Linked DNA regions of Neurospora crassa OR74A. Each later gene encodes a partner of the first gene's protein in a complex. Links are inferred from orthologs where the notes say so. Each region holds a gene or a part of one and is shown on either strand. Other genes may lie near its edges.

Region 1 (4,310 bases):
TACACGAAATTTATGATAATAACTGGCCCTCCTCTTTCTCACAGTGCCCTAGACCTCCTATAGCCGATCGTCGGACTTCTTCCAGCCCACTGTGGACGTAACTCCTCCCACAGCCCCCAGGATGTTGTCGACAACGGACTTGATCAGGCCCTGCCCTCGTCTTGCCCTTGTACCATCACCACCGACGCCGCCAGCGCCACCGCTCGAAGAGGCGTCATTACCCATGGTGGGCAGGACATTGTCACTTGCCGACAAGCTGACAAAGAGGGCGAAAGGAACCAGCCATACACAAATGCCGAAGTAGGATGCGATCTCGGTGAAGGTGGGAACATTGGATGGCATGTCGTAGTAAGAAGTCATGTTTTGATAGGCGCGCTCTTGGTGACGCGAGAAGTGCTTGAACCACAGGTAATGGTTGACGAGAACGAGGCCTGACAGGAACAGCCAATGTCAGCAGATGCATACGAGATGAGGGAGTTGATGTGGGTTGAAAAGGGGCTTGTTTGCTCAAGCTTACCGCATGACAACACGAACAACGGGTCTGTCAATTTGACATAGGGGAACCTCCGCATATTACCCAAGTAGACGACATGGGAGCCAACACTGAGCAGTGTTAGGAAGAAGGGGAATCGGTCGACAAGGCATAGTAGAAGCTGGATGACGATGATGGTGTAAATAAGTCGAGTAAGAAAGCGCTTGGCAACAACGGTATGTTCTTCGACAACTTCGGACAGGTAATATAGACCCGAGGCTATGGTGCAATGGACGCCTTGTTAGCAAATGCAGGCCGGTCTCCCGCAGCAGGCAGCTTCACGGAGCAAGACGTACCAATAGCCAGGGTCAGGAAACAGAAGCCCGCGATGGAGCCGAGATAGCCAACAAGAGGCAGAATCCACATGTTGAGATAGAAGATTGATTGGGTTGGAATTAGACGGGCATAATATGGGAACTGGCTGGTGGTGGTAGGGAGGTCATCCAAGCTGAAGGAATGGCAATGTGTTGGGTTATGGAGATGTTGTTTCTGGAGAAAGGAAGCTCAAGGCTGGTGCCAAGTGGTGAGCCTGGAGACAACCCCTTGTACCCTATGGAAGCTCCCGGTCCCTATTTCCCCGGAGGGTCACTGCTACTTACCCCTGACGTGTTCAATTAAACAGACCGTGTTTTAAAGTGGGGCGGACCGTGACGGTTCAGGTTGCAAGCGAGGAATGTCATCATGGGCTGGAATTGGCGGCCGTTAAGGTACGATAAGGATATGTCGATAAGCTAGGTGCCGCCAATCCCACCAGCGATCGCCCTTGGCGGAACCCCAGAACAACCCCACTTCCAAAAGGGCCCATTGAAACTTTTTTGTGTCCCACCACACCGCTCGCCAGTACCAGCACCAGCACCAGCACCAGGCTGACCAGCAGCACCATCCTGTCAATCCATCCGCTGTCGGCGCATTTCCACTTCTGCTTGTCGCATTCCTGGACAGAAATCACTTCTCTCCTCTAGCCAGTCGTCAATTTCCTTGTTTTGTAATTGTCTAGTCTCAATCCAGCCAGCCCAACATGTCTCGCCCCGAAGATACCCTGTAGGTCCACGACTCGACGACAGCCTCGCGACAAGCACTCCCGTCCTCCTCGTTTTGTGCCCCAAAGCTAACAACACCAGCGCGGCCGATGTCCACTATGACGACACCGAAGCTCGCAAGTACACCACCAGCTCCCGTATCCAGAACATCCAGGCCTCCATGACCCGTCGTGCCCTCGAGCTCCTCGACCTCAAGTCTCCTAGCTTCATCCTCGACATCGGTTGCGGCAGTGGCCTCTCTGGCGAGATCCTCTCGGACGTTCCCGAAGACGAAGGCGGCCCTCACGTCTGGGTTGGCATGGACATCAGCCCGTCCATGTTGGATACGGCTCTACAGCGCGACGTCGAGGGCGATCTCTTCCTCGCAGATATTGGCCAGGGCGTGCCATTCCGCGCCGGTTCCTTCGACGCCGCCATCAGCATCAGTGCCATCCAATGGCTATGCAACGCCGAAACCAGCGACACCGCCCCGTCCACCAGACTTTCGCGCTTCTTCAACGGCCTCTACGCCTCGCTCAAACGTGGTGGCAGAGCCGTCTGCCAGTTCTACCCCAAGAACGACGTACAAAAGCAGATGATCACTGCCGCCGCCGTCAAGGCTGGCTTCGGCGCCGGTCTGCTCGAGGACGACCCCAACACCAAGAACGTCAAACTTTACCTGGTTCTCACGGTCGGCAAGGACGCTACCGGTGGCAAGGACATCAGCACTGTCGTCGAAAACATGGACGGCGTCGATATCCTTGACCAGAGAAAGAAGGGCAAGGGCGGAAAGGGCGAGATCAAGAAGGGCAGCAAGGGCTGGATCATCAAGAAGAAGGAGCAGATGGAGCGCAAGGGCAAGATTGTCAAAGCCACCTCCAAGTACACTGGTCGCAAGCGTCGTATCCAGTTCTGAGCTTCGGGGTTGTTGGGTCTGTTTGTCTCTTATTCACATCTGCATTGGGAAGGCGTTTGGGTGGTTACGGCGATGAAAAAATATGTCTTTTTTTGTTCTGGATTTTGCCATTTCTTTTACGGCTGAAATAACGATACCCGGTTTCTTGATCTCACCCTACAGGACCCCCCCCTTTGGACCTTCCTACGTTCTGATGCTGAATCCCCCTTTAGATGTGATCCTCTGGGCCATGTCCGCACGGCTTCCCCTCGGTGATCTCAGGATAGACGGTATACTGGCGAGAGTAATGTGGCAAGCCTTCCTCATCGATAGTCACCTCTGTCGAAGCCACACTAACCTTGAGGTCCGGAACCTCCTCCAGATTATACTCGTCGCCGTTGAAGAGGGCCACCTTCCACTTCAAGTTGGCGCGCAGATGCGGGATGACATCCTCAGGCTTGAGGCTCTGGAGCTCGCCGCCCACAATATCCTGCAGCAAAGCGGAGGTCAGGGGCACAGTGCCTGAGACGATCAGACCGTTTGCGTTATCCTTGCGGCACTTGCCACACTGGGTTTCGGCGCTCCGTCCCAACACGGACACACGACCGACGCAGTTGAACTCGTCGTCCCAGGTCTCTGGGTCGGGGTTGAACTCGCCCAAGAAGACGATGACACGGAAGGATTGCCCCAGACCGTGTTTCTGGGCGCGAACGTTGACAATCCAGTCGGTGTACTTTCCGTCTGGGGCGAGGTACTTGAGGCTCTCTGGAATTGGGCCTGGTGAAGCTGTCAGCTTGGATGGACGTTTTATGCTCAAGCCGATCATCATACCTGCGGCCGTGCTCGACTCGGCCTTTGTATCCTTAACAGGCACCACCGGCTTCTGCGCCTTCTCCTCAGCGTGCTGGAACACATTATGGACCTTCTCTGCGACCTTCTTGGCCCCGGAAAGCTCAACTGCATGAGCAGCAGCAGCCGAGACGGTGCTCTTGCTCTCCTCGCCAGTTGCCTGCGGTTTCTTCAACGCCGGCGTTCGGTCGGCGACATTCTCAACAAAGTTGGCAAACACATTGCTCCCGTACAGCGCCGTGACAGACTTCCTGATGGCTGCCTGGTACTCCTTTACGGACGAGTACTTCCACTTCTGCGTCTCAGGATACGCGTATCCGAAGGTGATGCTGTCCTTGACCTGCTCAGAGGTCCAAAAGTTGGCAGCAGATTTGTCCCAGAACGGCTCCAGAGGCGTGCTCTTACTCTGGCTTTCACCCTCCTGTGCGACGAAGGTCGAGTAGGGAGCGGGTCGGGGAGTCATGAAGCTGTTGGGGTTAAGGTCTTGCCAGATAGACCAGAGGCGGTCGACGTTACTTCAGATCAAGGGCTTCTTGTCAGCGACGATAACGGAATGGGGCCTGTCAGGCATGACCGATGCAAAGAAAAAAGGGAAAAGGGGAGTGACCACATACACATGGTGCAACCAAAACAGCGGATCAAAAGCCGACACCTCCAGGCTCGACATATGTCCATTTCCGCCTGTCCGATCATGAATCTCATTATGCACATCCTCCAAACTGCCGAAATCACCCGGGTTGGTATTCGGATCCCACCTGTTATAACTGAACGCATCAAAGTCCTTGTAGCTCAGCAACAACAAACTGACATTATTTCTCAATGACGCCAGCTCGTTCGCCAAGATGGGCGCAATCCGCTCATCCCGCGATGCCCCTGTCAGCCGGTTTGGATACCGGACCGTGCTTGGGTATCTGCTCCACGCCGCGCTGAAGTCACCAGGGCTAGGGTTGACCGGGTGGAAAGTAAACCGGTGCAGCGGGTTGTTGATGCTCTTGGTCTTCCCGTCGACATCCAC
Region 2 (3,144 bases), on another chromosome or scaffold:
TTCGGTTATGAGGGCTCTACCTTCCACCGTGTTATCAAGCAGTTCATGATCCAGGGTGGTGACTTCACCAAGGGCGATGGCACCGGTGGCAAGTCCAGTATGTTGCTTCCAAGTTCCGTTATGCACTTTGGTCCATATCATTGACCGCTTGTGTACAGTCTATGGTGACAAGTTCCCCGATGAGAACTTCAAGCTCAAGCACTCCAAGAAGGGTCTCCTCTCAATGGCCAACGCTGGCAAGGATACCAACGGCTCCCAGTTCTTCATTACCACTGTCATCACCTCGTAAGTCGAATACACTCGAGCCGCATGGTCTAGGAAGTGCCCGGTTGGCTAATACACATTTTGTCGCAGTTGGCTCGATGGCAAGCACGTCGTCTTCGGCGAGGTCCTCGAGGGCTACGATGTCGTCGAGAAGATTGAGAACACCAAGACCGGTCCTCGCGATGCTCCTGCTGAGCCTATCAAGATCGCCAAGAGTGGCGAGCTTGAGGTTCCCCCTGAAGGTATCCATGTGGAGCTTTAAAAAGCGTCTTCTATCCATCCTTGCGAATCCCCATTTCCCCACCGTTAACTGTTCATAAACCTGTGTGGGAAAAGTCATATAAAAGAGGAAAGGATATAGAAGCAAAACTTTTTGGATCCTCATACCTACAATGGTGTCCAATTGTGGATCGTTTTGTTCCTATGACCGTTTACCCGTGTATATGAGTCCATGTGCTGATGAGTCGGTGTTTTTTCTCATCAGGCCTGGAAGGCCAGTCGGAATGGGCATCTCCCGCGTACGCAAACGAAGACGAGAAGCCTGCTGCTCCTGTTCCTGTTACCGATGCCAAGCCTCCTGCGCACGACAGCATCCCCGCCGCCACCGCCGACGACGATGACACTGGTGCTCCCTTGTTCGCCAAGGTCCTCTTCTTTGGTGTATTAGTTCTAGGTCTCGTTTTGTATATTCGCCTTCGTCGCGCCCCTAAGGGTACGTACGGAAAGGGCATGGAGTAGGCAATATCTCGAATATTTGAAATCTGACAAGGCTGCATAACAGGTAGCTATCAGGGTCTGGGCGGGCGTGAGTAGCCCAGACGAGTATTGTTGAAAGGGAGAAGAAAAAAAAGGATCAAATCATGGGCATAAATGAAATCATCGGATAGTTCGCTTTTATTCCCATGTATATCAGTCGCGGTAATGGTTGTGATGGTTGCTTCGGCGATGTAGTGGCGTGTCTGTAAGTCGAAGCATAAAAGTAGCATCACGTGGATCCATTTTTATCCGTTCGAGTCGCTGGGATATCGAACTTTTTTTTTTTTATTACATTTTTGGTAAGACAGTACCGACTCGTAAACCACGACCAGGAAAACCTTGAACATCTTTTCACTATCTTCCCCGAAACTCTAGGTCTCGCTGGCCGAATCCAAAACTAGTTGAGAAACATAATATTCAATCAACCAAAACCCACCAAGATGAAGGTCATGACACTCAACTTTCTGACCTGCGCGGTCAAGAACTGCAAGTCATCCAACGACTCGTTCCCGCTGCACCCCAAGGAGGCCGAGCTGGCCAAAGATGATATCGAGATCAACCCTCAACTTCTGATCAATGTCTTGCCTCGCATCGACTGGGCTGCTCTGCGGACTACTTCTACCGAAGTACGTTGAACTCTTTTTGTATTTTCAAAGCCGACCCACCATTTCGATATGGAGCTACAATATATCTTCATCCCCAATTTTCAGAGAAATACCACACGTCCATCTCACACCTCCCTCACCCTCCCACACTTTCACTTCACCCCAAACAACAACAGCATTTCAACGACGTCCTCAACTAACACACACATCAGCTCGGCTTCCCCACCCTCCCCGAGCAGCCTCCCTCGCCAGAGGATCTTCAGTCCGACGAGGCTCTCCTCAAGGAGCTGCACGAGCTGCTCATGGAGACCCAAATGATGGAGGGCAAGCTCGTGTGCGGCCACTGCGGACACGAGTACGCCGTCAAGAACGGCGTGGCCAACTTCCTCTTGCCTAGCCACTTGGTATGAGTGTGGAGCGCGAGGCAGCAAGGCGAGGCGTTTTCAGGGATGGTCGTGTCAACTGGACTAATTGGACTGGTTGCCAGAGACCTGTTGGAGAATCGGGGAATCTTCATCGGATAGTAAGCACCAAGGAGTGGTAGAGATGGAGAAGTGGTTCCTACCACACGGACTCGGGGAATGCATGCGATGCCAGAAGGCTGGCCACCTGCGGGTAGCAATGAATGGATGGATGGATGGATGGTTTGGGTGACTGCCCAGGGTTGGTTAAGGGCTACCGCAGGAGTCGTCCTGTCCTTGAAGAGACTAGAGTATGGCGAGAATGATTTCTTGAGGGGCGGTTAATTATTTCAGCATTTTACTTGTTCACTTTCAAGGCGTTCTGTAAGGGAAAACATCAATAGAGGATTATCTGGCAAATATCAGCGGCGTAAAAAAAAAAAAAAAAAAAAAAAAAAAAAAAAAAAAAAAAAAAAAAAAAAAAAATCATTTCACCAAGGTGACAGGTTGAAGTTTCCAAAGTTAGTTATTGCCCATGTTTCATGCATATCATTGCTCATGCGTGCATTCTTGTTTTCATTCCCATCTTGCTTTGTTCTAGTGTACGAATGCGCAATGCTTTAATGATACCCAACCAAGAACAAGAACCCTCGAACTCCGGCCTGTCCCCCAAACCCATATACATAGCATGATTCCATAGCAAAACAAAACTTGTGTTCTGCCGCATGCACATCTGTTGTTCGTTGCATCCCAAACCCTACAAAACACGAGGAACAGGGCCTCCAAGCGCTTTACTGCTGCTTCTTCTGTGCAGTCGGTCCCATCTCCTTGTCGAAAGCGCCATATGAGACTTCGAGACTACCGAGAGCCTTCAGTCCGACGCCCAGGATGGAGAGCATGACAATGAGAGCGAGCAGGGCGACGAAAATGCCTGGTTCAGTGTCAGTCTACTGCCTTGAAAAAAGCGCCGACTTGAGATGATGATTACATACCAGGAGTGAAGAACTGATACTTCGCAAACAGCGGGCGGTTATCATAAGTGGTGTTGCCGTTGTCACTGCCCTCCTGAGAGCTAAACTGTCCGCGCTTGAGATCCATATGGACTGGTTCGATAAAGT

What was found.
Region 2: the proteins of NCU00777 (region 1) and NCU01201 are in contact, whole or in part, in a crystal structure (PDB 4QTT), measured with the Saccharomyces cerevisiae proteins. The link is inferred for Neurospora crassa OR74A from reciprocal best matches to the Saccharomyces cerevisiae genes BUD23 and TRM112. Residues at the interface, in NP_009976.1 of Saccharomyces cerevisiae: Pro47, Cys48, Ser49, Phe50, Asp70, Val72, Cys74, Ile78, Leu83, Leu87, Glu92, Gly93, Asp94, Leu95, Met96, Leu97, Gln98, Asp99, Thr102, Ile104, Pro105, Phe106, Arg107, Gly109, Ser110, Phe111, Asp112, Arg139; in NP_014444.1 of Saccharomyces cerevisiae: Met1, Lys2, Leu4, Thr5, Asn7, Phe8, Leu9, Lys10, Ser12, Lys14, Asp17, Phe23, Ile40, Asn43, Glu45, Phe46, Asn49, Ile50, Arg53, Val54, Asp55, Leu101, Asn123, Gly124, Ile125, Pro126, Asn127, Leu128, Leu129.

What each region holds. Positions count from the first base shown.
Region 1 is NC_026501.1:7,208,093-7,212,402, forward strand, and holds the start of NCU00777 (methyltransferase), read left to right. Parts: upstream 1-1,342; 5' UTR 1,343-1,550; coding exon 1,551-1,573; intron 1,574-1,653; coding exon 1,654-2,467; 3' UTR 2,468-2,675; coding exon of another isoform or gene 2,676-3,810; 3' UTR 3,811-3,909; coding exon of another isoform or gene 3,910-4,310. Other genes in the region: NCU00778 (sed5 vesicle protein), read right to left, coding at 58-431, 518-751, 829-898; T (tyrosinase), read right to left, coding at 2,676-3,810, 3,910-4,310. UniProt on the Saccharomyces cerevisiae protein: S-adenosyl-L-methionine-dependent methyltransferase that specifically methylates the N(7) position of guanine 1575 (m7G1575) in 18S rRNA. Requires the methyltransferase adapter protein TRM112 for full rRNA methyltransferase activity.
Region 2 is NC_026505.1:3,221,125-3,224,268, forward strand, and holds NCU01201 (trm-112), read left to right. Parts: upstream 1-1,311; 5' UTR 1,312-1,460; coding exon 1,461-1,646; intron 1,647-1,837; coding exon 1,838-2,035; 3' UTR 2,036-2,471; downstream 2,472-3,144. Other genes in the region: NCU01200 (peptidyl-prolyl cis-trans isomerase B), read left to right, coding at 1-97, 159-285, 355-506, 749-1,002; NCU01202 (hypothetical protein), read right to left, coding at 2,818-2,957, 3,019-3,144. UniProt on the Saccharomyces cerevisiae protein: Acts as an activator of both rRNA/tRNA and protein methyltransferases. Together with methyltransferase MTQ2, required for the methylation of eRF1 on 'Gln-182'.